Oreochromis niloticus: one gene and its partners. The protein of the gene in region 2 purifies or fractionates together with the protein of the main gene of each other region. This does not show direct contact. Links are inferred from orthologs where the notes say so. Each region holds a gene or a part of one and is shown on either strand. Other genes may lie near its edges.

The links. The genes of interacting proteins can lie anywhere in the genome.
Region 1: the proteins of mphosph6 (region 2) and exosc3 purify together in Homo sapiens (affinity purification with mass spectrometry; 6 studies listed by BioGRID and IntAct, counting the BioPlex papers as one, with this or other methods). This does not show direct contact. The link is inferred for Oreochromis niloticus from reciprocal best matches to the Homo sapiens genes MPHOSPH6 and EXOSC3.
Region 3: the proteins of mphosph6 (region 2) and exosc8 purify together in Homo sapiens (affinity purification with mass spectrometry; 4 studies listed by BioGRID and IntAct, counting the BioPlex papers as one, with this or other methods). This does not show direct contact. The link is inferred for Oreochromis niloticus from reciprocal best matches to the Homo sapiens genes MPHOSPH6 and EXOSC8.
Region 4: the proteins of mphosph6 (region 2) and exosc6 purify together in Homo sapiens (affinity purification with mass spectrometry; 3 studies listed by BioGRID and IntAct, with this or other methods). This does not show direct contact. The link is inferred for Oreochromis niloticus from reciprocal best matches to the Homo sapiens genes MPHOSPH6 and EXOSC6.

What each region holds. Positions count from the first base shown.
Region 1 is NC_031966.2:9,765,291-9,771,863, forward strand, and holds exosc3 (exosome complex component RRP40), read right to left. Parts: upstream 2,556-6,573; 5' UTR 2,470-2,555; coding exon 2,245-2,469; intron 1,907-2,244; coding exon 1,757-1,906; intron 1,626-1,756; coding exon 1,474-1,625; intron 1,372-1,473; coding exon 1,164-1,371; 3' UTR 504-1,163; downstream 1-503. UniProt on the Homo sapiens protein: Non-catalytic component of the RNA exosome complex which has 3'->5' exoribonuclease activity and participates in a multitude of cellular RNA processing and degradation events.
Region 2 is NC_031972.2:1,932,308-1,940,312, reverse strand, and holds the start of mphosph6 (M-phase phosphoprotein 6), read left to right. Parts: upstream 1-4,983; 5' UTR 4,984-5,132; coding exon 5,133-5,180; intron 5,181-5,933; coding exon 5,934-6,046; intron 6,047-8,005. UniProt on the Homo sapiens protein: RNA-binding protein that associates with the RNA exosome complex. Involved in the 3'-processing of the 7S pre-RNA to the mature 5.8S rRNA and play a role in recruiting the RNA exosome complex to pre-rRNA; this function may include C1D.
Region 3 is NC_031975.2:15,850,855-15,858,406, forward strand, and holds exosc8 (exosome complex component RRP43), read right to left. Parts: upstream 3,004-7,552; 5' UTR 2,918-3,003; coding exon 2,901-2,917; intron 2,552-2,900; coding exon 2,515-2,551; intron 2,421-2,514; coding exon 2,357-2,420; intron 2,276-2,356; coding exon 2,202-2,275; intron 2,108-2,201; coding exon 2,062-2,107; intron 1,969-2,061; coding exon 1,863-1,968; intron 1,756-1,862; coding exon 1,710-1,755; intron 1,619-1,709; coding exon 1,522-1,618; intron 1,390-1,521; coding exon 1,269-1,389; intron 1,147-1,268; coding exon 1,040-1,146; intron 558-1,039; coding exon 439-557; 3' UTR 327-438; downstream 1-326. Other genes in the region: alg5 (dolichyl-phosphate beta-glucosyltransferase), read left to right, coding at 3,750-3,812, 4,777-4,945, 5,131-5,177, 5,844-5,912, 6,049-6,141, 6,253-6,366, 6,483-6,542, 6,635-6,786. UniProt on the Homo sapiens protein: Non-catalytic component of the RNA exosome complex which has 3'->5' exoribonuclease activity and participates in a multitude of cellular RNA processing and degradation events.
Region 4 is NC_031972.2:7,647,217-7,653,246, forward strand, and holds exosc6 (exosome complex component MTR3), read right to left. Parts: upstream 2,052-6,030; 5' UTR 2,004-2,051; coding exon 1,726-2,003; intron 1,175-1,725; coding exon 628-1,174; 3' UTR 504-627; downstream 1-503. Other genes in the region: aars1 (alanine--tRNA ligase, cytoplasmic), read left to right, coding at 4,419-4,562, 4,733-4,921, 5,515-5,660. UniProt on the Homo sapiens protein: Non-catalytic component of the RNA exosome complex which has 3'->5' exoribonuclease activity and participates in a multitude of cellular RNA processing and degradation events.

The sequences.
Region 1 (6,573 bases), on a different chromosome or scaffold from region 2:
TTATTTTCTTTTGTTTTCGTTTTTATGTGTTGCCACGTTCCACCGCCCCCTGGTGGTCAACAGAGATGCTGAGGGTCATCCACAAAGTTATTTAGAATAAAAAAATAATTAAAAACAAAACTTTTACTTAACACTTAAATTTAAACCCCTTTAAAAACCAGAAGTAACAAATTAAATCCATATTTAGAAAATGCACGTTATGCTTCATTTCTAATTTTGATCCTGATCCCATCTTTGGGTTCATCAACACGGGGACAATTATCAACTTCAGACTATCTGAAAATCTAAAGGAATCATGAAAATACAAAATTTTATCACTCAGTGTCTCCAGTTATGCTGCTGCTGCTGCTGCTGTGTCTGCCATCAGGAAGCCGAGCTGTTCATGTTGGACTTGGAGCCGAGAAAAAAACAAAACAATCATGACTAAAAGTTTTGACAGTATCAAAAAATTGTGCTTCAGCTTTTTTTAAATGTCTCCAACTCATAGAGAACAAAGCAATTCATAAATTTCAAAGGCTTTTATTGGCAAATAAATCAAATGTATGCACAGAGTTAGTATTTACAGAGTTGACCCTTCTTTGTAACCTCTACAGATCTCCGTAATGTACTGGAGATCCATTCCTGCCTCATCAGCGCTCCAGCTGATCACAGATTCTCAATCTCATTAAGACTTGTGGAATTTTCTGGTCCTGGATCTGAGATATTAATTTGCAGATCTTTGAAACTCTGAGGGATCACTTTACCTTGTGACGTGGTGCTCCATCATGGTGAAAAAGGCACAGACTGTCACCAAACTGCTCCAGGATTGTAGGAAGGAGCCGCTCTTTGGACAATCATCAACTTTTCTGAACATTTATAATTTTGACATTTTTATACATTTTTTAAAATTACCCCCCCCAGTTTTATTTATTTTCATCCTGATAGTCTGTCATGTTTGTGGTTTTTGGTTCTTTAACATCTGCTTTTCAAAAATGTTCAGACTGGAGCTCCATGTGAAAACATGTAATGATCCTTTAAACACTGAACAGCTGCAGCCACGCTCAGTGTGATGTCACAGAGCCCAGGAGTGACATCACTGCAGCATTACACCTGGACTCAGGTCTGAAGTGGTCTACAGTGTGGCCTCTGCTGGTTCAGTCCATGTGCTGGAGGTCAGAAGTCGTCTAGAACGCCCCCTGCTGGACCTTCCTGAACAGCTGCTGTCTCTGCTGAGCCGTCATGGTTTCGGCACTCTGCAGCAGGTTTGCGATGATCAGCGTCTGCTGCACGGTGGCCGATTTGACCCAAATGCGTCCGTTCATCCCGACCACGAGCTCACACGGGAAGAGCTGCTCGAGGTCTGAGCGGATGTCGCTGTGGGGTGCCAGCAGCCTGAAGAGGGGAAGCAGTAATGTTTAGGCTGAGGTAAAAAGATCCTAAACACAAATGCTGGTGTCATTACATGAGCAGCAGAGGGCGCCGTGGCTCAGTTACCTTCTGACGAGGCCGAGAGAGACTCTGAATAGCAGACCTCCTGCTCCAAACACTCCCATCCCATTGGCTCGTCCTGAGCTGTCAATACACACCAGCTCTGGTTCCATGTCCTTATTGGCTATGAGGAACTGAGCAAACACCAGGTCACCCACCTGTACAGGTGACACACAAACACACAGGGAGGAGAGAGGGGGAATCATTACAGTGGCTCTCTTTAACCTAAAGGTGGATTACCTCTATTTAGAGTTCCCTGCACACCAAACTCCAGTCTGATTTTGGATACCTGGACGTTGGGTCTGTTCCTCTTGGTCGCCCCTTCGAATGTCAGGTAGGACAGAGACGCCTGCTCACTCCCTCCGAAATCCACCTTGAAGACATCTCCAGATTTGGCGGTGACGATCCCGATGATGCTCTCTCCTTTAGCTGGGACATACTGAGGATAAAGAGACATAATCAGCTCCCAGCACGCACTGCTTTACATTCCGACGCAGCTTTACTGCGCACTTCCATTGGAGACTGCCAGACTCCATTTAAATTTTTGTATACTTATGAATTAACCTGCAGGAGGAAGTTTCAGACCAAAACATGAGAGCTTCCGGAGGTCTGCTTGATGCTGTGATTAATTCGGGGTTGAACACTGAGAGAAACACACTTTTCACGCTTCCAGGTTTCTAGATGAACGAGCATCCAGAGAGCAGAAAACCAGCGCCTATCGATGAATTATGTTAGCAGAAACTCACACTGGCGTTATCTTACTAATATTTCTCTCACCCTTCTCTGTTGGGAATCGATCCAGAACACGTTGGGCTCCTTGTGTCGCAGCACGCCGCTCTTAAACACCACTAGCCGGTCACCGCAGCGCCGCAGGCCCGGACCGCACACCACCTTCTCCGACTTCACCGGCGCCGTCAGAGAAATTTTCTCTTCGGCCTCGAAGGAGAACTCGTCCCCCGGTAACAGCACCTCCCCAACCCTTTCCCTCACGGTAGAAAACATGCTGCCGCCTATTCTTCAGCGTTAACTCCTCCAACAGGTTGTTGTTGTTTTCCACCGGAAAAAAACCCAGCATGACACGCAGGAAACACCCAACAGCGCCCTCTGTCAGTCGGGAGGTATTACAACAAGCTGCCAAACATGCCAGTAATTTGTTGGTAGATTTAAAAAACAAAACAAAACAAAAAACAAAAACATGTGTGACCCAAATCATTGTTACCAGGTCTGACTGATCTTTACCTCATTTTTAACATGTCTCTTTATTAAATATGTTATTTAAAATCACAAAGTGATTATAAATTGAGAACAAAATCATACATTATTATAGTGTTATTTTATTCTCCAGATACTTTGGTATGACAGTAGATTGAAAGACAAGAAAAACGAAAAAAATAGGGATGAGTCTGAGAAAAAAGGTTCAACAGTGAAGTCCCAATTGTATCAACAAACAATTAAATAAACAGTGAAAAAACAAAAATCCAAGAGTAACATTATAATTTACAAGAAAAAAAGTGTCATTTACAGTGAAGATCATTGTACACCTAAATAAAGAAGTAAATAAATACATAAATATGTAGACAAACAGAGGATCTAATCTAAATTAATTTACAATAAAACAGTTATGTCACATTATATAATTAATGATTCTTTAGTTGTTACATTTTGTGCATTTAATGGCACTTACTGTACATTTTAATTGGTATTAGATGCTGCTCCAGCCAGCCAGAGAATCCCCGCCGCCCCGCCCTCTCCTCCCTGTGCTGCAAGAAGCAGGCGCACCTCGCAAACGGAGGGCGCCCTTACTCCCAGCAAATGGGCGATAGAAAACCGATCGGTGCCTATGCCATTCCCAATATGCGCTGGCTGATGTCGGGGCAGCATGAGTACGAGCAATTTATTTATTTATTTATTTTGCCGATGCCCGTGATGCCGCCCCCCAACACGATGCCGCCCCGTCAACTGCCCGTGTCGCCCGTATCTAAAACCACTACTGATTGTAACATTGTAAACATAATGTTACAATTTTACATTATGTTAAATTGTAACATAATGTAAAATTGTAACATTGTAAACATAATGTTACAATTTTACATTAAAATTGTAACATTGTAAACATAATGTTACAATTTTACATTAAAATTGTAACATTGTAAACATAATGTTACAATTTTACATTATGTTACAATTTAACATAATGTAAAATTGTAACATTGTAAACATAATGTTACAATTTTTACATTATGTTACTGTCAGAGTCGGACGGTGCCCCGACCGGTCGACCTGTGTGTGTGTTTGTTCTCCTCTCTCTCGCTCTGCTTTTTCTCCGGCTCCGCTGCGATTGTCACGCGGTCGCGTAGCAACGGAAGACCTCAGACCCGGAAGTGCTGCCGCTCTGAGCTGCCTCACCTGCGACCGATTCGTCGCCAGCTACTGCCAATTATCCACCATCGTTGGCAGGGCTATTTAACGGTGTGGCTGAGTGACAGACAGCGCTGGAGTATTGCACCAAGCCTGGAAGCGAACGAGACGGAAGGGGAGACTTCAATGATTCTCTGGAGTTTTGTGGACACACGAGGGGAGACGGGGAGAGGAGCACTGAAGGGGCTTGCACTGTGGATAACTGTGGATTGGTTTTGGCTTCACTGTAAATAAAGACACTGTTCAACTTAAACGAGAGGTTCGCGTCTGGGTTCGCTAACTCACCACCCTTAACAGTTACAATTTAACATAATGTAAAATTGTAACATTATGTTTACAATGTTACAATTTTACATTATGTTAAATTGTAACATAATGTAAAATTGTAACATTATTTTTACAATGTTACAATTTAAAATTGTAACATTATTTTTACAATGTTACAATTTTACATTGTGTTAAATTGTAACATTATGTTTACAATGTTACAATTTTACATTATGTTAAATTGTAACATAATGCTTAACAGATAATGGTTATCTTTTTTTTATATCATACACAATTGTCTTTTTCACAGGTATTGATGGTAATTTGCAGTGGTTTAGTATTGATTAAAATACCTGTGAAGTCCTGTTGGTTTTTAATGATGATTGTATTGTTGCTTCAATATTATCCAAGGGTGCAAACTTGGTGGAAAATCAGAATCAGAATTTAACATTGATCCAACATCAGACCCTAACATTGTTTCAATATAGGACAGCGAACTGGATGAAAGTGACAGCGAGTACGAGAGGATCCCAGAGTCAGGCCTGAGGAACAGTTAGGAGATCAGGGGTCAGTTAAAGGTTATCAATATCTGATGTGTGTAGGTAATCAATAGTGTGTGTGTATGTGTGTACTTCTATGAACATCAACTTGATGTTTCTTAAAATGATAACTTATTAATTCATATATAAACAAGGGGCCCAAAGCTCCTAACAAGTAGGGGTGGAAGTAGGTTTGGTACAATGACAGAAGATATCAGTAGGCCTGACACCGGAACCGGGCTGGACCCGCTTTTGCTTTCAGCCATCAGAAGAGGGTACACTGTGGTCATAACAATACTCAGACTGTAGCATTTAAAGGTCCCAAAGTGTACCAGGGAAATATCCCCTGCACGGTTACACCAGCAGCCTGAACTGTGAATGTGAGGGAGGATGGATCCATGCTTTCATGTTGTTCACTCCAGATTCTGATCCTACCAGCAGAAATTGACACTCATCAGACCGGGCGTCATTTTTCCATCTTCTTCAACATGTTCAGAGCTCTCCTCTGTACTTTGGTTGCTGTAGCCTTTGTATTGGCTTGAGGCAGTCAGGTCATTTGAAATCAACATGACCCAACCGGCCTGTCTAGCACGGACAACCACATCACGAGTCCATTAAATCATCTTTCTTCCACATCCAGATCCACACTTTGAACTTCAGCAGGTCGTCTTGCTCATGTCTAGAGTTGCACTCATCTGAAACGGGTTAACAGCTGAACAGGTGTACCTAATAAATCGGCCAGTCAGTATGTGGATTTTGGCTAAAAAATTTTTTTTAAAGTGTCACAAAAGGGTAAGAAGACAGATTATTGTTCAGATCAACAGAAAAATAACCACCAACATGTCCTGTCAGGTTGTGTACATACATTTCCATGTGGGACCATTTGTTGGATATTTTCGGGCATTTCGGAGGCCAAACGATTAATCTGTCAATCATATTCCCTACTGATATGATAACACACAGATCTTGAAAGTCAACAAAAATACCAAGCACAGATTCAAATTTTCCTTTTTATTAGTATTTTTTTTTATTATTTTTCTTAAAAAACAAATATACATAAGAAATGATAAATATAAAAAAACAACCCAGAGCCAAAGAAAAAGTTCTTCAATGTTACAAACCACTTCGTACTGCAGAGAAAACAAACACTAGTGTTACACCTGACAGTTAAACTCGTGTTGCCTAAAGTCTTAACTTGTTCTTGTTGCTATGAAGCCGTCCCTCATGAAGACGAAGAGTCACATCCGAAGGAAACAAAGACGTCAGAGTTTTTAGTGCTGTGGATCTAACAGCAGATTATTCACACCGTACGAAGACGACGCGCTGCAATACGGAGCTGGAACACATGGACATGCAACTTTACTACAACACCGGCCCTTCATCTGCTCCGATCCGGGCCCGAGGAAGCAGGCAAACAGTCTCAGACTGCCTTATTTAAAACCTACAACTGAAGTGAGAGGGGTGGCACGTAGAGGACGAGTTAGAGACACTCCAATGTTAAAGAAAGATCACTCCCAAGGCTCAGAAAATCACATCTGAATAAAAATAAATAATCTGTAACTGGTTTGGTTGGTCTGTTAACAGGATTACTCAAAGAGCTGTGCACAGACTTAAAGGTTGGCTCAAGTTGCAAGTCTTTAAAGATCTAGATTTGGGATGGGGTTTTTTTTTTTTACCGTTATGGGTAATAAAAATAGATAGGGGTTAGGGGACCTAGCTTCTATTGGATATTTATATAGAGATCCTCCAGCTTCAAACTGTATTACCTTTCAAGGACCTGCAGTTCAAAAAAGCGCCCCTCCGACAGCCAAACCCATCTGTTCTTTGATTGGATTGTTACATTTGTGATTGACATGACCTTGACCAATTAGATGAAAGGAAG
Region 2 (8,005 bases):
ACTGTTTTCAAATACACACGTATTATTATTATTATTATGAACGGAGAAAAAAAATGAATACATGTATTTTTCAATGTACCTGAACGTTGTTATGTCTTAGTCACAGGAAAATCACTCGTCTGTGACGACTGATTTTGTTGTCGCTCTTCAAGTAGAAGAAAGACGAGAGTAGCGGGTATGTTTTCCGCATTTCCATTTCACTGATCGGGAGAAGTGGTACGGGCGTGTACAGCTGGTGACTTGAAGGCTAGAGCATCCCAGTTCACAAGCCTCGTGCTCCAGCCTTTTCGGTCTTCGGAGGACGCGGCCCACGAGACCGAAGGCCGGGTCCTCCAAGGATGCAGCCTCTGAATTGGGATACAGCCCATGTTTATCCCAACCTGAAGGAGAGGGATGAGGCATAAAGCCGGCTGTTAGAGGATTTAAAGGTAGAGCTGTGCAGACCTCACTGCAAAACTTCAACAGATTCTTGTTTGATACAAACCGTCACTGCTGAATATGACACACAGCAAACACTTTGAGCATGATATCAGAAATGAATGTTGACTTACAGGCTGGATATCAGTAAAGGCCTTCTCAACTTCCAGGTTCCTGAAAACCTTTCTTCCTACTTTGTAAGGTGCAGCAGGGAGGAGTGCTGGCAGCAGCTGTAGGGCTACGTCACCTTCCTGTCTGTAAGCTGAGGTTAAAATGTTACAGTAAGTAAAAAAGGTCAATGCAGAAAAACAAATAGAAACATTTCTTCTGAAATACCTTTTGGGAGCAAACCAGTGTTTTGGAGAAGATCACCACTCCTTTCCTTCTTGGCCATGCGCATGATCTTTGTCAAGAACAACAGGATCCCAGAAGAGTCACACAGAAATCCTGTGAAATCCTGTGAAATCCTGTGACATCTGACAAAAGACAAAAATACTGATTGGTTCCTGAGCTTTAAAATTCAATCAAATTCAGCCTTTCTCGTGTGACACTAACATCTGTTCTGGGTGGTGTGATGTTATTTTGATGATTAGATTGGTATTGTTGCAGCTAACTTCTGTTGGTTTGCAAGGAAATGTTTTGTTAGTCTCAGTTTTACCCATGTTCTAATGTGAAGAGTCCTGGTTTGTATTCAGTGTAAGTAGTTTTTATGTTTCCCTTCTGTTTTTTTTTTTCTTTTTTGTAAGCTTTATCCACAATCGCTCAATAAAAATATTTTGAGTAAAAAGATTTGTATTGTAATTGTACACTGTACATTTACACATTGTATTACTTCTGAGTGTTGAACAGGTCCTTAGTCCATGAGATGTGACCTCAGCATGCCCGGGGTGAAAATTTGCTGAAGTGGGACCGTCCCGTTTGACCGGGTCCACGTTGCTCTGTGGATGGCAGTTTGCAGCATGTGTCGGGAAACCTGAGCCAGATGTTGTTCTGTTCTGGTTCTGTGGGAAGCAGAAGTAAATAAATTCAAACCAAAGATAGAAGGCCAAGCACTCAAATGATAAAAGCTTAGATCGCTGCAAAAAGGAAGGGGCTTCAGAAGCAAGTCTATCTTCTAGTACCAGACAAAATGAGGCAGTGTTTTTGGCGTTCCTGTGCTGCTGAGTTCTTCTTCCTGCCAGAACGAAGCCTTCACCTGACACTGCGTACACGTTCCTCCAGAAATCCTGCTGCTGGCCTGAGTTTTCTGCCGGGGCTGAACCACACATCCTGAAAAAAAGAGAAACAAATATGATTTAAAAAATGTTTGCAGTTGTCAAGTCGTCTTTAAACCTGGAGCCATGAGCTCCAACAGCACGCTCGACATGAAGCAGACCGGTGTTTGTTAGGAGATCCAAGCCATGGTCCACAATCATGTTTTACACACTTTAATCTGTCATGAAGTTGCACAAACATTTTGGACAACTTCTCAGTAAATTTGCAGCAGTTGTCATTATTTATGTGTCTACCTAAAAGATGTGCTACACACTGTATGTTTTTAATAATCAATGCTCTTCAGTACACTGACTGAGAAACTGAGCAGTATTCAGGATTTTTAATTGCTGTTGTGTGGATCCAGTGAAGAGTGGATACTTACATATCCTGTGTCCTGTGGCAGTTTGTCACGCCGTCCCTGTGCTCCGTGTTCCCTCTGTTCAGTGTCACGGCCGTGCCCCTGTGCCTGTCGTGTGTTTCCTGTTTTATTTTGATAGTCCCTGTCCTGGGTGCAGTGTGTGTGGGTATGCGTCCCCTCGTCTCGTTAGGTCTGATGTGTCCCTGGTGTGTTACCACCTGTCCCCATCCTCTCGTTGTCCTGTCCGTGTTTCTCTCTGTGCTTAGTAACACTCTGGTTCTCTGTCGTGTTTGTGTTTTCTACTTTGAACTGGAGTTTCTAGTTTAGTTTTCTTGTATTTTATATTCAAACGTTCTGCAGCAGTAAAGCTGCTGCTTGTCGTTAATCCTCCTGTCTCCGAGTCCCGCGTTTGGGTCCTACATCCTGCCTGCCACACAGCACTTCAGGAAACGAATCGTTTTAATATGCTCAAAAGTTAAAGCAAAGATAACATTTCTCATTTTTAATTGTCATTCAAATGAATGTACATGGATAAAAAAGCCTGATGGCATAGCTGAACTTACAAATGTTGCTCCTTTGTCTGAAGAAACTCCGGTTTGCAGTTCAGTAGGTGGTGTAAAATCAGCACATCAGCTTTTTTACAGCTCAAATCCTTTAAAATACAAATAATCACTTTATCCCCTGAGCAATAAAAAAAGACTAAATACAAAGTCTTTCAAAGGTTGCTGTTTGTGACATTGGACTGTACCGTCACTGTGCTGTTAACAGTTCAGCACAGGTTCCCATCTTCAGAGTGATAATAGTGTCATTCCCGGCCTGTAGTTTGTACCTTTGTACTTAATCCAGGATGGCAGAAACACTTGTGTGAAAACAGAACTTCCCTCAAATCCACTTGTGACTTTTTCAAAATCATGTGCGAATCGAGCAGTCTGGTGCTTCCTGGCCCAACGTCAAGGTCAGAAAAAAGAGTGTAGCACATCATTATTTGGTGTCTGTAGGCCTGGGATTTACAAATATTCCAAAAGCTGCAATTCACACGACTTACTCATTAGAAAAATCCAAGTTTGCCTCAAAGCGCACAGACCAGAAATGAACTATGGGCCCAATTTTCCGATGGCTCCAGGATAATGTAGCATGAAATGGTGTTTGGGTTTCAAGTGTCTGTTTTCCAAGAGGGCAGCAGAAGTTACAACAAATACAAATACAACACAAATTTTCTTTATTCCACTTTGAAAGGAAGTTCCCAGGGCCAGATTCAGATAAAGAAGGATTATTTTGAGCTGTAAATCATGCAAAGCTGCTCTAACAATAGGTCACTTTCAACCAATCTCCATACGCCATACGTCACACCTCGAGAAGGAGGCGGGTCCAACAAAATGTGACCACATAAAATGATTAATGTCTCCAAACAGCAACACACACACAGACACACACTGACATCAGAGGTTTGCGGAGTTATGAAAAGTAATTGACTGTTGTTGCTCAGTGGTGATGCGTGCTCAGTCATCCAGGTAATCTATGGCGTTATTTTTGTGCCACTATTCTGAGCGCACGTAAAAAAATTTGAGCACACGTAAAAAAAAATTGCAGGTGCAAGTGTTGCATTTTGAGGAGAAATGTATTTTGAGCTAAGAAAAGCTAAATTTGAGTGAACAAAATTCATTGCTGCGTGCAAAAAATGTATTTCAGTGTTTGCTATTATCCATACACACACACACAATAGCAGCCCCGCTCGCTCAGTTTTTGCATTTGCGCTTGCTCACAATGTGTTGCTTGTGCTCTCAACATTTCTGCCTGTGCGCTTTCAACTCTTTCTGTACACCGTTATAATTGTGCCACAAAACCAGCCAATCACAGACTTGGATGGAAAACATTCTGATTGGCTGTTTTGGTCTCTAATCAGCTCACTGGCTGCTGTAGCTAAACCCAGGCAAATATCCCAGAATGCATTTCATCCAAAACTCAAACGCAGTGGCAGAGGAACGCGCAGTGGCGGAGTTTGAAATATTACTCTTTCTGGGTCACAAAATAAACTTTTAAGATATTTGATGAATGGCGCTGTGTAAACTTCAAATATCTGCTCGATTTATGAAGCCATCACATATTTGCAAAAGTGCTCCAACGTTTTCGGAGATGCCTGTTACCCACCAGCTGACCGGGTAGTCAAGGCGCGGCTCCCAGCACATCGTTTTCAACCCCCCCCCCACTACTCAGGTTAAACATAATATATAAGTCACTTAGATCAGCGGTCCCCAACCTTTTTTGCGCCACGGAACGGCGCAAAAAATCACAGCATCTGGGCCCAATCCTCCGAACTGCAAGACAGCTTTTTCCCGCAAGCCTCACACTACCAGCTCCCCCCACCAGTGTTGCCAACTCCTCAGTAAGGAAAATCGCTATTGGTTGTCCTAAAAGTCGCTAGAAGTCGCTAAATGAAGTCATCACCTAATTTGCATAATTGGTCATGCTAATATAATTGTAACCTATGTTGTTGGAGAGAGAAATAACATCGTGGAAGAGACATAAAGTGAGTAAAAACGTCCTAAATGCATTTAGAGTTTATTTAGAACTACAAATTAAATTTCTTTTAGCAATTATTGTTTTTTTTAATGTCACAATTCCAACCCTGCTCCTTTACCCGGGCTTGGACCGGCAAAAGTGATCCGAAATAGGCACTCTGGTGGAGTTACTTTGTGTGTGTGTGTGTTTATAAGTAGTTTTAAACCTTGTGATCCACAAAACAGCATAAGAGTAAAAGAGTAAAAGAAGAACTGACTGTGTTACAGCACCCGCTGCTTGTTGAGAGTAAAAGCGATACGCGCTTTCACGTCTTTTTTTAGCGACTTTTTTAAGAAAAAAAGTCGCTAGGGGGTCTGAAAACTCGCTAAATATAGCGACAAAGTCGCTAAGTTGGCAACACTGCCCCCCACCCTAAGAAAATTTCTCTAGATCCGCCCCTGGGCTGCACATCAGAGCTCGATTAGCAGGGCTGGAGAAGCAGTTCAGCGCTCGGTTCTTTCTGCCTCTGTTCAGCGTGGCGTTAGCTCGGTGTGCAGCACCGAGGGTCCTCCAGTTCGGTTAGCCGCATTCTCTTGGGTTGAAGATGGCGAGTGAGTCGGTGAAGCTGTCCAAAAATCTGCTGCGGATGAAGGTAAGTGAAGCTGCGCGTGCTAACGGACACGCGAGAGCAGCTAGCAGCCGATAGCTAGCAGAACGTTAGCTTTGTAATGCGCCGGCGCATAACTCCACTCAGCAATCCTGATAATTTAAGGTTTTCTGCTTCACAGGAAGTTTTAAATCGTAAATAGAAGTTGAAATTGATTACCGGATGTCGGGTGTGACCCAGAGAGTAAATCGGCGTGCAGCAGAGTTAATAACAGGCTGTAAATGTAATTTATTAATAAATAATGTGTGCCAGTCTGAGACTCTAAAGATAAACTCTGACTTTAAAATGATCTCTCACGTGATGCGAATCTGAACCCGTGTGGATGCTCAAGTATTTGTGTTACGTCACGAATAATGGGAACGACGGCTGAAATTCATGCTTTAAAAACTGTATCAGAGTCTGATATGACGTCCAGGGGGAGGTAATAACCTGCAGGGTGCTGGTTTGTTTCCTGGAGAGGCTGAACCAGCGTGGAAAAGATGTTTCTGCGGCCTGATGCTTTGACCAATCAGAATAAAGCCCTCTCTGCTGATTTTCACCTTTACTTTAAAAATCTGTTCTGCAGATGTGGAAGATTTCACACTGAGGGAAACAACTGTGGTTCTCTGCAGATCTCAGCCAATCACAACTGAGTGCAGTAAAATCATCATTCATGAGAGCAGGTGTGGTTAAAACCTCACAGAAACGTCAGCTGAAGGTGACGTGTGTGTGTGTGTGTGTGTGTGTGTGTGTCCACAGTTCATGCAGAGACGTCTGGACGCAGAGACGAAGAAGCAGCTGGAGGAGGACGAGCGGAGGATCATCAGTGATGAGCACTGGTACCTGGACCTGCCTGAGCTCAAGGCTAAAGAGTATGTATGAGCGCCATTCAGGCTCCGCCCACTTTAATTCAAGCAAAATGCATAACAGCCTCACCGCACCGTCGTTAAAGGACTTTTTTTCATGCAGCTGCTTAATGTGCAGTTTTCTGAATGGAGTCTGGTTTGAAGTCTGAACTAGAAATGGACCGATCCGATATTACGTATCGGTATCGGTCCGATACTGACCTAAATTACTGGATCGGATATCGGAGAGAAATAAAAAATGTAATCCGATCCATTAAATATCAAAAAAACACCTCACAAAACTTGCGACACGGCGTAACTCGGCTCATAACCGTAGCACGTCGGAGCAGTGTGATCACGTGATAGAGCAGCTGTGTGTATTTGTAGCCTCGCTACCAAACCAGCATTTCATCTCCGAGGAAGTTATCCCAGAGAGAAGAAAGCAAGTGTGTAAGTTCATCTCTGAATGTTTGTAAAGCGTTCCCATGTTAAGCTTAACAACCGATATATGGAGCGACTGCCTCTCTCCCTCCCTCTCCTGCTGCTACTTCAATCGTGAAACTGATCAATCAGAATACTTTATTGATCCCTGGGGGAAATTATTTTTTGTTACAGTGCTCCATTATAAACCAACATTAACAAAACAGACAACACGCTAACTAAGAATAGTACTATATATATATATATATATATATATATATATATATATATATATATATAGTGTATATATATGTGTGTATATATATATATAGTGTATATATATGTGTGTATATATATACATAAGTCACACATTAATAAATAGCTGGAAAGAAACATGTAGTTGTAGCAGTAGCCAGTGTGTTAAGTGGATGCGTTGTACAGGGAGATGGCCACAGGCAGGAATGATTTCCTGTGTCGTTCAGTGGTGCTTTTCGGTATGATGATCAGCTGATTGGCTTTTCTGTCGCGAGTCCGTCTCTCTTCTTTGTTTTTGGCCCACTTTGCTCCAGAAAGAGGAAACCAGCGGCGGAACAACAGCAGCACGTTTAACCTTGATAAGCTGTTGTTAGAATGTATTTAATATTACTTTCTACACCAGGATCCTTTTCTACGTAGCTGACGGCTGGTAACTGTGCAGGGGCGGATCTAGCAAAGTGTAGCCAGGGGGGCCGATGGGGCATGAACAGGGAAAAGGGGGCACAAAGACATACTTTTCTTTCTTATTCTCATTTAAAATGTCTAGCTTTTAATAAATAATTATCTGAATCTTACACCCAAAGTTTTAATCTGATGTAACATGTATAGAAGTCCATTACTGTATATAGTAACTGTTAAGTCTAATATACCCTAGTAAGCTATAGTACTTTTTCCTTTGGGAAGGTACCATCTGTGCAGTCTGCAGTTCTGTAGAAGAAAGATGTTGAATCTATTTAATTATTCTTGAAAAATAATTTATTTCTGTGCATTTTTTTTCACCCTGCATCAAATTAAAGTTGATTACATCGATTAAGCATCATGAGGTGGAGGGTGGGGGGTGGTTCCCTATTTCTTTTTTTGCTGGGAGTTTGCAACCCTGTTAGTTAGGTTGCTTAATATTTCTGCTAAGTACTCTTTAAAATACCAGAATAGGGAGGATGGAGCAGGTTTAAGTTTATTAGATTGATCAGTGTTGCTGAACTATGAAATATTTTGGGTGCAGTGTATTTTTTACATACAGGTATAACAGAATAGCTTTAGTGTTGTTGTTTATTTAAACTTGAGTATGAACTTATACAAAATGCAGCAAGATATTAAAAAACAGTTTTATTGATTAAAAAACACACTATATCGGATTCATTAAGGTATCGGCAGATATCCAAATTTATGATATCGGTATCGGACATAAAAAAGTGGTATTGTGCCATCTCTAGTCTGAACACACAGTGAAGTGTGTTTTAAGTCTTTAGGGGTCAGAGGTCATGTGATCATGGAGGCGGATGATGTTATTCTGGAGGTGTTCCTAATACT
Region 3 (7,552 bases), on a different chromosome or scaffold from region 2:
GCCCTTTAAGCACGGATCCCGACTGAGCTTACCGACACCAAATCCTCCCTGTGTAACCGTTACATGTGAAATGCAAATCTGATCTTGGAATTGTGCCTGGGGGCAGCTCTCTACCTCTCAGTCTGTTGGAAGTCTTTCTTCTCTTAAGCAGTCCCAGCACAGGGCTCAAACGAGGACTCAAGATCATCATGCAAGATGGTGTACCTGCTTTTGTACAGCACATTTTGAAAAGGCATTTCCTTTTAATTAGTACAGGAGCCATGAGCGTATTCTTACGAGACATCAACTGAGTGTGTGTGTGAGACATTTCCGGACACTGAGAAATAATTTTTTAAAGCGGTCTTTGTCAGCAGTTTTATTGTTATTAAAAAAAAAGAATATATATTGACAGTGAAAAATACAGCTTTTAGATAAAAAAAAAGCATCGTCCGAGTGTCATTATTGTGCCTTCTTCACACTGTGTGCAACTTTGGCAATGAGTTTCTGGATCTCTCTCTGTCGTGTTGTTGCTCGGCTGATACACTCCTGCAGCCTCTCTCCTGACAGTGATGTCCCACCTGAGCAACAAGTAGCAATGTATAGAACAGTATTTCCCAGTTACGTTAAAAATGTCTTTTTGGCATTTTTGAGTTTTTTGCTTTTTGTTTTATTTCTGTTGACCTAACCTGAGTGTTCATTTTGAAGCCGTCAGTTTATGTTGGTGTTACTATTACACATGCATTGATTCATACAACAGGGGTATTCTGAGGACATTTTTTTTGTGTTAATGCCAAATCAGGTTAAAGGAGTAGCTCCATAGTGTAGTGGTTAACACATTTTCTTGGCAAGCAAACAAAGGATCGCTGACTCTACCCCTACTAGAAACATAAATCCCCTTTGGCGTCATGCCAGGAAGGACATTAGCATTAAAACTGGCAAATCAGTTGCAGATTTTGGCTCTTGCAGTAAGGGATAAGCCTAAAATATCTTCAACCAAATTAGGTTCATGCCACATACCATGCAGTCTAGAAAGGCAAATCGCTTCAAACGTATTCCTCACCTGGTTTGTGCACAGAGCAGAGCCGGTCATCCTCATCAGTCACCACCGTCAGGTGTGCTGTTGACAGAGTCTCCTCCTCAGCTGTGGGGTCCGAAATCAGTATGGAACTGCAGCGAGATTAGGCCAGGATTAGAAAAAGAAGCACATGTCACTTAAAAATAGAGATTATAAATTTCTTTTTTGGGTTGTTGTTTTTTTTTTTATATATATAATGGCTAGACTAACTTACTCATCAAAGATGCAAAAAGAAGCGCTGACTAGATGTTTGTGAATCTGAAGTTCCCATCTCTTTTCTAAATTCACCTCTGGTGCAGAGGTCTCCTTGTTGATGGTGACTTCTGGGAGTCGTGCTGTGAGGAGCCAGGATACTGTTAAGTTCATGTACTGCTTAAAGAAGAAGAACTACTGATTTGTTTCCATTATTACCAGTTAAGACACATGGACTTTTTTTAAAATTTACATTACAGTAGAAATTTACATACTGTTCTTTAGAGCAGCCAAGAGTGCGATAACACAAGCATCCAATATGTTCCCATCATAGTCGAGACACATGAGGTCACAGTACAGCACCCAGCAGAGCTGCAACAAGAGTCCGCAGTTTTAGTACCCATGGCTGGATATTTAAGGGTCAAATTGTATGTCAGTGTAGCCCCGTGACTCTTGGGTTTACCTTTCCTCTGTCGATGGACAGATCCTCTGTTTTTATCACTTCAGAGCTGAAAAATTCACATAAAAACTTAGTTAAACCAGCACCAGGTTTAAAAACTATCACTCATTTAAAATAAACATTTAAAAAAAGCTAACATATACTGAAGTCGGGCACCTTTCAATGACATCAGCGATAAACTGGCTGGCAGCCTGGGCCTCCTCTCCCGGTGGTCCCGGCCGAAAGCGAGAGGAACATAGGGGTGGCAGGTCCACGTTGGGCACTGATGGAGATGCGATCATTGTTTGAATGACATGATATCAGATAATTAACAAAGAAAGAATGGGAGAAAACAAAGACTTCTTACTACACCTACCAATGTAGCCTTTACCAGGTGCCTCCACTGTAGGGTTTGCTAGCTCCTGCAGGAGGGGGAGATATAAGTGAGTACTTATCAACCTGGCCCACACTCACTAAATAAAAAAAACAACAAAAAGGAAAAACAAATGTGTTTACCGCTTTAATTCCACATATGATTGTTGTGTTTCCAAGCTTCACCAGGGCTGAGCCATCTGCTGTAGAAATTGACCCTAAACATGGAAATAAAATAAAAAATCCTATGTAGGTTACAGAAACCTCGCACACACTCACACACTGTGGGGAAGTCTCACCTATGTTCAGTGTTGTGGTTCTGAATTCAGTCAGCTCTCGTCCATCAGGCCGACAGTTTTCTTTCTAAAGAGAAACGAGAAACAAATAACAGTTCATATCCATCCAGAGAGCAACACTTGTCTGTCACGTGTGGGATGAACTTGTTTTCAACACTGACCAGAAAGCTCCGGTGGTACTCCAGAGGCTCAGCAGTCCTGCAAGTTAAAAGGGAACGCGGTAAAGGAAGCCACAGCACCGACACATCAGAAGCTCACTCAGAAACAGCACAGCGAAGAGAGTGACCGAGTACTCATGCTATACACGTCAATGACAAATATCTGAGCCAGTCATAAACTACAGCTGTGACACAAGAATGAATAAAGTGCGCTCTTTGTCACATGCATGATGTCCGGTATTTTCGTTTTATTTTGTGTAATAAATAATTTAATTTATTATAACACCAAATATGCATTTACTCCGCTGGTAAGTACAGGAAAAAATAAACAGAGCAAACTAAAAGTGATATTTTCCCAAACATAGAACGGAGAGCTTGTATATTCTTACTTGAAGCCAGCCGCCATGATGTTTTGATTAACCACGTGGGTTTGCGCTATGACCTACGGTAGCCGGGTAGGAAGAAGCGCATAACCAAAGTTTAACCAAACGCGTTTGTAACCAAATCATGACCTGTCCATAGACGTCTCTGGTCAAATCTAGTTGCAAGTAAATAAACTCCAGCCATTTATTGAGTTGCTTTTTATATTTTTGTGGACCTTGTAGGAAATCTTCAGGAAACATTTCCGATAGATTTTACAAAATAATTTTTGAGAGGTCGTTGTCCAAAATATGACCTTTAGGGAATTGGGGGACTGGGATGCAGGTTGTTGTTTTCCATAAATGTTACAACAAAATGTTGTAGACTAGAAGAAAAGTCTTTAATGCTTTGACAAATGCTAATATTTTTCCTAGCATTATACCTCCCTTTTTTTCTTTATGTACATGTTAAAGAGAGAGTCCTTGCCACCATTTCCACCCCTGTCCGCTATGAGGCAGTGTGCCCCAGCGCCGAGCGGCACTGTGCCGCTCGTTGTTCTCCTGCTCCAATATGATGATGTGGGAGAAAAAACAGTCACTACTTCCGCATCGTCGTTGTGTTCAGTTGTGATTGGAAGTGGAGTTAGGTGAAGTGTCCTCACAGCAATGGAAACATAAGGACTCATATTAAACATTTTAACCTTCTGAATAATATCGTAAGGTCGTAATTTGGTACATATATTTGGACACACCAGGAGGTTAGAACACAGGCTGTGTGTCAATAAAGGAAGGGAAAGGAGAAAGCCAGCTAGCTTCTGAGCTAGCCCCCTGCAGGTGGTCTGTCTGTCAGTGGGTGTAGGGTAGGTAACCTGATGGAAAATGGATTTCCTCTGTGAAATAGTTCAAGCCCTCGTCGCACTGGCAGCTGTAGGTTTCATCGTGGTGAGTAATCAGTGCTTTGGATGAGAGATGCTGTAGCTAAGTTGTTTTGGGAGAAGTTGCCCAAATACAGTTACAGTGATAGCGTGGGTATCTTTCCTTTTGTACTTTTCAAAACTTTCCAAGTTATCCTTGAGCATTGTGTTTGACTCGGGCCACTTGTAGACTTTTACAGGCCTGTTCATGTACCTCAGTTTTATGATACTTCCTCTTCATTCTGCTCTAAAGCAACAGAGGGGTCAAGTGTCATGCAGAAAAAATATCTCGTAAGTAATATAAGCATGAAAAGGAGCAACATTTAATTCAGAAAAACTAGACATTGGCTGATACCGGATCTTTAGGTTGTAAATAAATCCTGTATTGATTGGTATTTATTCAGAGCGTTAGTCCTATTGACTATTGAAAGCATATATGAAACATATGGTACATATTTGCTCGCATTCTTTTAGATATAGACCAGTTTCTAAAGTTTTACATTTTAGGATATAATAAAAAATAATCTCGTCCTTAGCAGATCTTAAAATTGAGTAAATACAACCTCAGATGAACTACAAAATGTGACATAGGAATGCAGAGAGTAATTAGCAGTCAGGTGCCTGCTATTAAGTAATGATCAGCAAGTTTGAGCACCTCTATAAAAAAAAAAGAAGGAAGTTTTCTGGTCTGGAGTATTCTAGGGTGGGGTAACACAATGCCAAGGAGGAAAGACATCAATTGTGTCTTTCATCATCAACTTGCTTCTCTGTGCTAGAGAAGCAATTGGTGGTTCTCATGAGTCTAGAAAGTCTTTTAAGGTCTTCTCTCTAAAAAGAACATGGGAGCGTAGCGTAGGTTTTCAGTCTTACATCTGAACAAACCACAAGACTTGTGAAACAATGTGCTTTGGAGATATTTGGCCAAAACGCATCACTGCACCACATTTGTAGAAAGATTCAATTGTAAATCAAATGCAATTCTCACTTTTCAGTTGCTCGTAATAGCACACTTAACCGCAGGGATGGTGGACCTGACACGCCATGAGAAGGAGAAACACTTTCTCACCGCCACCGGAGAGAAGCGGCTCTTCCCCAGTCTACATGATCCCCATTCCAGGGAGCTCTCTGTGGTGGTCCCGGCCTACAACGAGGAGCTCCGATGTGAGTAAAGTCTGCTTTTCTGCTCAGTCAGTCATTATGAATGCCCACATTAGACACACACTGTAAATAGTCAGTTTTCATTAGGCGTTAGTAGTGCAATCCATCCAGGTTGGTGCAGTCAGACGTCATGTCACTGTGCAGTAGGTTGTACTTGCTATTATATGTGTGTTACTGTGTCCCTTCAGTACCAGTGATGATGGATGAAGCTATGGAGTACTTGGAGAACAGGCAGGTAAGTGCAGAGCCTGAATTAAAGCGTAATTATATTTACAGTAAAAAGCAGCACATTTAAAAGCATATAAAACAAAATGTATCACCGGATATCCAATTACCACATTTAACAGTAACTGTAATTACATTTGGGATATTTATTTATAATCAAAATCTGACACACAAAAAGCAAACAAAAGAAAGACTGTTATCAGGACTGTGTTTTTATTAGGAACATTTATTAGTTAATAAATGTATATACTTTAAAGCTAAACTATGTATAAACAGATGGCTTAAAAATTTTAATGACAAGAAAGCCCTTAAATTATTTGTTCTGTTCATTAGTTTGAATTTATTTCAAGGTGACCACACCTTTTCAGAGATACAGTTCAAGTTTGTTTTTTTTGTTTTTTATAATTTGTTTACATTTTTTGGTCACTGGGTCCTTTTTTCTGCAACCTTGTGTATATAGGTTTCTTGAATAACTGATGTTAGTGCCTTTTTGTCTGCACTGATGATGGATAATGTTCATTATTAAAAAAAAAAAAACAAAACATATATTGCTGGATATGTTATTCTCAGACTTACCAGTAGGTGGCAACAATGATCTGGGTAAAGTGGCTGTTGTGAAACAAGTCTCTCCTGTTTTTTGTTTGTTTTTTTTGTCTGTTTTTTCTTCTGACTGCAGAAACAAAACCCCTCTTTTACCTATGAGGTCATCGTGGTGGATGATGGCAGCAAAGACAAAACCACAGAGGTAATAATTTTAAATCTTTTTTGGGGCAAATGTAACCAGACCTTCTATTTTAGCACAACTCCGTTTTGCTCAGCTAAACATTTTCAACCAGTATAGATCGGTTTCATGAGTGGACACTGTTGTGTTGTCCTGGCAGGTTGCTTTGCGGTACACTAGGAAGTACAGTGCTGATAAAGTGCGCGTCCTGACGCTGGTGAAGAACAGAGGGAAAGGAGGAGCTGTGCGGATGGTGAGATTGTAGATGTGAGATTACAGTGTGTCCAAATGGGAACCCTAAAGCAGCAGTTTGGAACTGACTTTGGGTTTTTTTGTTTTGTTTTTATCTCTTTTTCTTTTAAAGGGAACTCTGAGCTCCAGAGGGAAAGTCATTTTGATGGCAGATGCTGATGGAGCCACAAAGTTTTCTGACATTGAGAAAGTGGAGGGTGGACTCAATGACCTCAACCCCAAACCGGTGTGATGGTGTTCTGTTCTGTTTTAAATTCAGTTTCACTTATTAGATATATAAGTGTGTAAAAGTGGTTAAAATGTGGCCAAGCCTAATGCCTCATGTGCTGCTCTCACGTCTAGGAGAACATGGCAATTTCATGTGGATCCAGAGCTCACCTAGAGAAAGATTCTGTAGCTCAGGTAACAGGGTTTTATTTTATACTGCTTAAAAAGAAAAGTGTTCGAAATTATTTTTCAGAACAGTAAATGACCACACTTTGGTGTCTTTGCAGCGGTCTTTGTTTCGTACGTTCCTTATGTATGGCTTCCACTTCCTGGTGTGGTTTTTTTGCGTGAAGGGGATCAAGGACACTCAGTGTGGCTTCAAGCTTTTCACACGTGAGGCTGCACTCAAGACCTTCTCCTCTCTCCATGTAGAGCGATGGTAAGGAATCAGCCTCCACTGTTGGCACATGATGATGTCTTAGCTTAAAGTATTAGCTTTAATGTGCATTCACCTGGACTATATTAAAAGCAGAAATTTGCAAATCTTAACCAATTTGTCATATGTTTAGCAAAGGGATTGCTGGACAATTTAGTGTAAAGGCCATTACACACCGAGCGCATTGTGAAAAAGTCAAATTAAATTTTGAAGCCACATCTGAGAGGGCAGAGAAATAATTTCAGAGAGCCGACTGACCCGGAGCAAAGTCTAGCTGTGTGTCTGTGAGGTAAAATAGTATTACTTCACTAGTTCCCCATCATTGTTTATTCAGTACAGTGCGCTTTTTGAGCTGCGAACGTGCTTGTTGCCAAATGCAGTGGTGTGATTGTTCAGATCCTTTTATTCACAAATCCCAAAAAATTGAACTTCGTCCGAAAAGAAATTAATGCTGCAGATCCAACTCACAAAATTACACAGATAGGTGGCTCGGAAAAATATTTTTAAGCCATAAAATATTTTCACAGATTTTAAGTGTTCGGTGTGTAAAAGTATTTATTCTGATCAGAGAACACAGAAGAAAATACTCTCTCTCCCTTTCTCTCCACATATATATATATATATATATATATACATACATATAACTGTGTTGAGAACTGCTCAATGTATTACTAAACCCTGGAAGGATAGTATAAGTGGTGAGCCATCCTCTTTGTGGTTGAAGGGTGAAAAAGGCTTGGGATCACTTAAATTTTCGTGAAATCATATT
Region 4 (6,030 bases), about 5.7 Mb from region 2:
TGTTCATCCCAGATATGTTACAGTCTGCTGGAACCTCCAAATAACATTTTGCTTGTGTGATGAATAAAGGTAAGTACAAAGCTTGAGTGCTGCAGCATGTTTGTGGTAAAGATAGTCATTAACCACAGCCAGATTTCACTAAAACATTAGGGTGCCCCCTAATGGTATGAGGATGACTTGTAGAACACAAAATTATGTTGACACAGATGTAGCCATACCTTACCTGCTCTGCCAGGACACAAGACAAGGACAAGTTTAATGGTTGTGTAATTCTGTTTGTGACAGAGGGTGTTGACAAACTTTTTGTGACCAAATCCATCTGTAATTATATTGCATATATTGCTTATATGAGGCTATTTGCATTGCCAGAGTTCACCTACTAAAAATATACCAGTTGAACAATTTCTCTCCAGTGTTGTGGGAAGCATTTAGTGTCAAATCCCAGGGAGAATATACATTATTTAACTGTCTATATTTAATGAGGAAATGCAAAGAGGCGAATCTCAGAGTGAATATTTTTCTTTTAATATATAAACTAATACCACACATGGAAAAATAGATCATGTTCTTTACTAACGATTGGAAATGATCTACAGGAAAAACTAAACGGAGGAGTTCGTGGTTCACTCAGCTCTCTGATTGTGATGGAGCAGCTTTGCGCACAGCCTTTGTCAGGGCACGCTGGATAACTGGGTACAGTTTATAGCATCCCTCAATACAGGTCCTCACCCCAGCGGTCAGAGTCTCTTCAGTCATGTCTCCATCAGACTGCAGTCCAGAAATCTGGTTCAGGCTTGGGAGGAATGCGACAGTCAGACCGCCCTGGTTCTCACAGCTCACTGAGCTGCAGCCATTTTCCTCCATGTAGGAAGGGTCAACCACATAGGAGGTGCCATCCTGGCGCATGGAGCAACCGAGCACCAGATCATACATTTCGATCCCCGCATCTGCAAGCGCAAGAGAGGCGCATGTGACGGCATGGGCCAGAACTGAACCGCTGTTCTCAAGAACCATCACGCTGACCTCGATCTGAGAGCGAGGGTATTTGTGGAGACATATGGCGGGCTGCAGGCTCTCATGTAACATCAGGGAAAAGTCCTTGTCCTGACTCCCCTGAATCCAGGAGCCCCTCTCCGGGCAGGAAAATGGAGCAAAGCGCATGTCAGTAGTCAATCTGGACACAGAGAAAAACAGTTGTGGTTGAGTCTTTTTTTTTTTTAAACTCTCACAGATATCAGTGTCCACTTCAAACTGAATGCTTTATGGTATACCCACATAAGCTCAGTTTTCTACCCAACTATGGTACTAAATAACAGTTCGCAGTGAAAGTAATGCAAAAACTCTTATCAAACACAAGGAGTTGCCTCTTTGTGAACATTTATGATTTATGGATATGTCAAAAAGCATTTTATTCCCCTAAAAAAGTGCTGCATTTGGATTAAGTCAATAATGTCTCCAGCAACTGTTTTGGGCAAAAGTTAACATTCTGTTGCATTTCGATTGTTTATGGGGTTTATTAATGTTTAGACTAGTTTTCACGCATGTGTAGTTTAGAACAGTGGTGGAAATAAAGAAAACCCCAAAATGCTGCTGTCCATGTAAGACACAGCAGGCTGTATTTTTATTATGACTTCACAGTTTAATCATCAGAAACCTATGTCTTTGTTTGTTGTGTTGTTAGAGCAGTCAATATGCTTAAAGATTTAAAACAAACAAACTCCATACCTTCCACATTTCATATCCGTCTCATCCTTCCGGTCTGTTTCTCTGGGGCCGTAAACGCAGCACATCAGCTTGGTGTTTCCAGCCTCTAAGTACGCGGAGCCTTTAGCTTGGCTCACCAGGCCACAGCGGACGAAAACGGGCCGGACGTCGACCTGATCCCGCCGCCGACCGTCCGCTCTGGGCCCCTTCGAGGGCAGAACCGCCGCCGGATCGCACGAAAACAGAGACGGGCTCTGAGACACTTCTGGACCACGAACACGTTTGGTGTCAGTCGGCATGTTGAAGTAAATGACCCAAGCAACCGGTCCCGCACGAAATCTCTTCCCCTAGAAACATAGCATGCGGGAGAAATGCTTCCGCTAATATACGCACACTGAAGGATATTACATCAGAAAAGCGAAATATCGAGTACGTACGGATGCAGCAATATTTCATCATTATTACTAGTCAGTTCCTCTGCCATAAAATAACAGTCACAAAAAAGTGATACATGTTATTGATCAAGGACAGAATACAATCATTTCTTTTAAAAATGTATATAAATAAATAACAACATTAGTTAAAAAAGTTAGAATACATGTTCGGCTCGACTTGAAACAAAAGCTGGAATTCATTGGGCTTGCGGACTTTTCTCACATATTTCTCTACATCAACTAATATATTTAAAAACGACAACAAAAATCTGAGCTGACACCGTTTTAGTTGCATCAGCCAAAGCACGGAGGTTTGTATCGCTGCCGTGGCGGGCTCTGTTAAGAAGGACAGTAGATTTGTTCAATAGGAAAGCAGATTCCTGACGTTTCTGTGTAGCCGGACCAATTGGAGGCTGTCGTAGGTGTGACCGCTGGTTGTGCTTTCCTTCTGTTTGAGCAGCGTGGAGTGAAGGAGAAGTACCTGATTCATTCTGCGGGAATAGCGGCTTCTGTGAGTATTTTCATGTGTTTAAATGTAGTTGAAATAAGCTATCTTCATTGTACTGTTCAGCAGAATAGCCTTTCAGTTAGAGCAGTGTGCCGAACTGTCTATCTCAGCCTGAGTGCAGGGAGGTAGCTTGATTAACTGGCTAACACATTAGCCTGCTAACGTCAGATCAAGCTAGTGCCTCTACCTAGAATAGCAATTATAGTCAGCTGACTAGCTTACATTGCAGACTGTCGGTTTTTGGTAGCACTTTAAGAGGAAATATGTTGTATCACATGACTGTCACAAATTTGTGTGGTCTGGAAGTTTATGTTAGACTTGCGAGATTAAGTTCACTGGTTTTGTGCCATGGAGACAGAGAACAGGGCTGTTCCTGTCACTAACCTGAAAGATGGGTCCAGTATTTATCATCAACCTGGTCTCCGTCTACCTGTTCTATGATTATATATGTCCCTATTTTGTCTTGAAAATGTACCATTATTTATTTCTCAAAACCACTGGGCTAATACTTACACCCCACGTCTTTTCTTTCTCTGGTTGCCCGCTAAATGGTTTGTTGTCAGGATGGGGACATGGGCTGTTTGTCATCCACTCCTTATTCCCAGAAAGCTGAAAACACCAGCTGAGGTTTCCTTTGGCAGTTAGTTTACACCAATGGGAATTGAGCTCTGCTGCCTTTTAATTATATATGGTATCACATTTTTAATGAAATATGTGTACTGCAAAAGTCCAAATAAAGTGCTTTTGTTTCCATTCTTACCTAAAATTGGATTTGACTTCATGGTTTAAGATTAGAGCATTGTGCGCCTCACCTGTCTTACTGGATTCCTGAGCTGCTGTTGTTTATGAGGAGAGCCTCAGGCCAATTAGCTGCAGCTAGGTTAACAGCCACACCGTACAAACAGACTTAATTTTAAGCTTTTGGTGTGGAGTGGTAAAATCAAAACATGCATGACACTTGAATGACCGATAAACAATTTCATAATGTTTTGATACTTTATGGACAAAGTCATGTATTTTCTGGCCAATACTGGACGGTTCTTTAACCAGCCTTTAAAAGCACTGACAAGTGTATAATTCTTTTTTTATTATATGGGATTGCCTTGAATGACATTTTACTACCTAAAAAGGAGCTACTTCAACAGCTTCCAACAAAGCACATTACTTGCATTTAAAATATGACAGAAAATTGTACAACCCCAAACTTATGCACCAGCCTTGCCAGAGCTCTCGCTAGTTGCAAAGTCATATGACAGGAAGAGAAACCCATGGGAAATTGCTGATGCTGTTAATTAAGGCAGTGTTTTAAACAGCTGGTTAAAAAGCTTTACCCAAGATGTGACACACACACACACACACACACACACACACACACACACACACACACACACACCTACCTACCTACCTACCTACCTACCTACCTACCTACCTCTTCTGTACTTGCCAAATTAGTATTTGGATACAAGAGCACTAAGAGTGTACCCTTAAGGTGACTACTGCCTGAAAGGGAAGAACAGGCCTTAATTGTGTTTTAATAACTTAGTAGAAAAGTTGCTGTTACTCAGACCAAATAATCATCCACCTCTCTAAATGGGACCAGTTTCTATGGGTTAAATTATCCTTCTGTCTTTGACCTGGAACAATTTAATTGGACCAAGAATTAACTAAAAAAAAATCACTGGCTGCATTTGGACAAGACCTCCTTAAATGTGCTTGATAGCTAAAGTGTTTCTTTTCTCTGTGTGTAATTTTGTTCACAGAGCTTCTTCAGAATGGACTCCTCCTTGAATGCAGCTCAAATTCGCCAGAAGTTCATTGACTTCTTCTGTCGCTATGAGCACCAGTATGTTCACTCTTCATCCACCATCCCCCTGGATGACCCCACGCTGCTTTTTGCCAATGCTGGCATGAACCAGGTACACACCATGTCTTTCCCAGCACTGCTTCCTACACCATGGCTTTTTTTTTTATGTACCCACTGATTCACAACTTTTAGAATAGGCTCAGAAATCAGATCTAGCAAACTTTCTTGAAAAAAATAATTTTTTTCTCAAGATTTTTTGTTTTTGCACCTCATTTCCTTTAGTTCAAGCCCATCTTCCTCAACACTATTGATCCATCACATCCCATGGCCAGGCTGCATCGTGCTGCCAACACCCAGAAGTGTATTCGTGCAGGAGGCAAACACAATGATCTGGACGATGTGGGTAAAGATGTCTACCACCACACCTTCTTTGAGATGCTGGGCTCCTGGTCCTTTGGGGACTACTTTAAGGTATTACATTTTTTTCATCCAATACATCAGTTTAACTTTTTTGTTACTTGTATTTTTAGTCTTTCCCACAGATTTAGATCATGTTTGTGGAATGGTGCTCGAGTATACACACACGTTGCTGCAAGCGCTTTCACCATTTATAAATTTCTCCTCTGCAAATATTTTGTTTGCCAAGTATTTTGTGACAAATGTATAACTGGGCAGCATAATCTGCTCCCTCTCAAGTCAGTCTACAACTCTATAACTTCTTTGTCTTGGACAGTAGCTGTTCAGCTTTGTAGTACTGGTGAGCTCATTGTAGAGGCACAGGAAAAGGGCACTTTCAAAATAAGAATGAGGGAATTGTTCGCTAGTATGGAAAAGGAGATAATTCTAATACAAAAATGCTTGAACATATGAGCCTGGACCTCATCTCATTCTTTTTATATTTTTGGGTAAAGTGGTTAAAGTTGATTTATGTGAGAATCTTGCTGTTCTCTCCTTTCTGTCAATGTTGCTTGTTATATTACAATGACATATTAATTATCATTATTAATGGACAAGACGGTGTCTAAACAGCTCTAAATTGTTATTGCATCATTTTTGCTCTGCAGGAATTGGCCTGTAAGATGGCCTTGGAGCTGCTGACTCAGGAGTTTGGTATTCCTTTAGAGCGCCTGTATGTCACCTACTTTGGAGGTAATGAGGATGCAGGCCTGGAGCCCGACCTGGAGTGCAAACAGATCTGGATGGACTTGGGGTGAGTGAGCCTTGGGAGCATTGACTGTATGTAAAAATAGATAAAGCTTGTGATGTGAAAAGTGAAACCAGTTTGGAAGTGCCTTAAACCTGCAATCTTTTTAATGGCCAGAAAGAGGCGGCGACATTCCAAAACAATGTCATGGTCTGTGGGAAAATGGACCTTGGTTGCTTTAGTAAACACTAGGTTTCTGGGACCTATTCCAGGAAGCAGGTTTAGCTAACAACTCTTGAGTTTATCAACCCTGAGCTGAGGAAAACTGTGGGTCTAAAAAGAGATTAAACTTCAACTTTGAGTTACAGAGGGTGTCAAATGTAAGGGTGGCAACAGTGATTACTTCATGAATTTATAATCCAGTCAGAAAAAAATC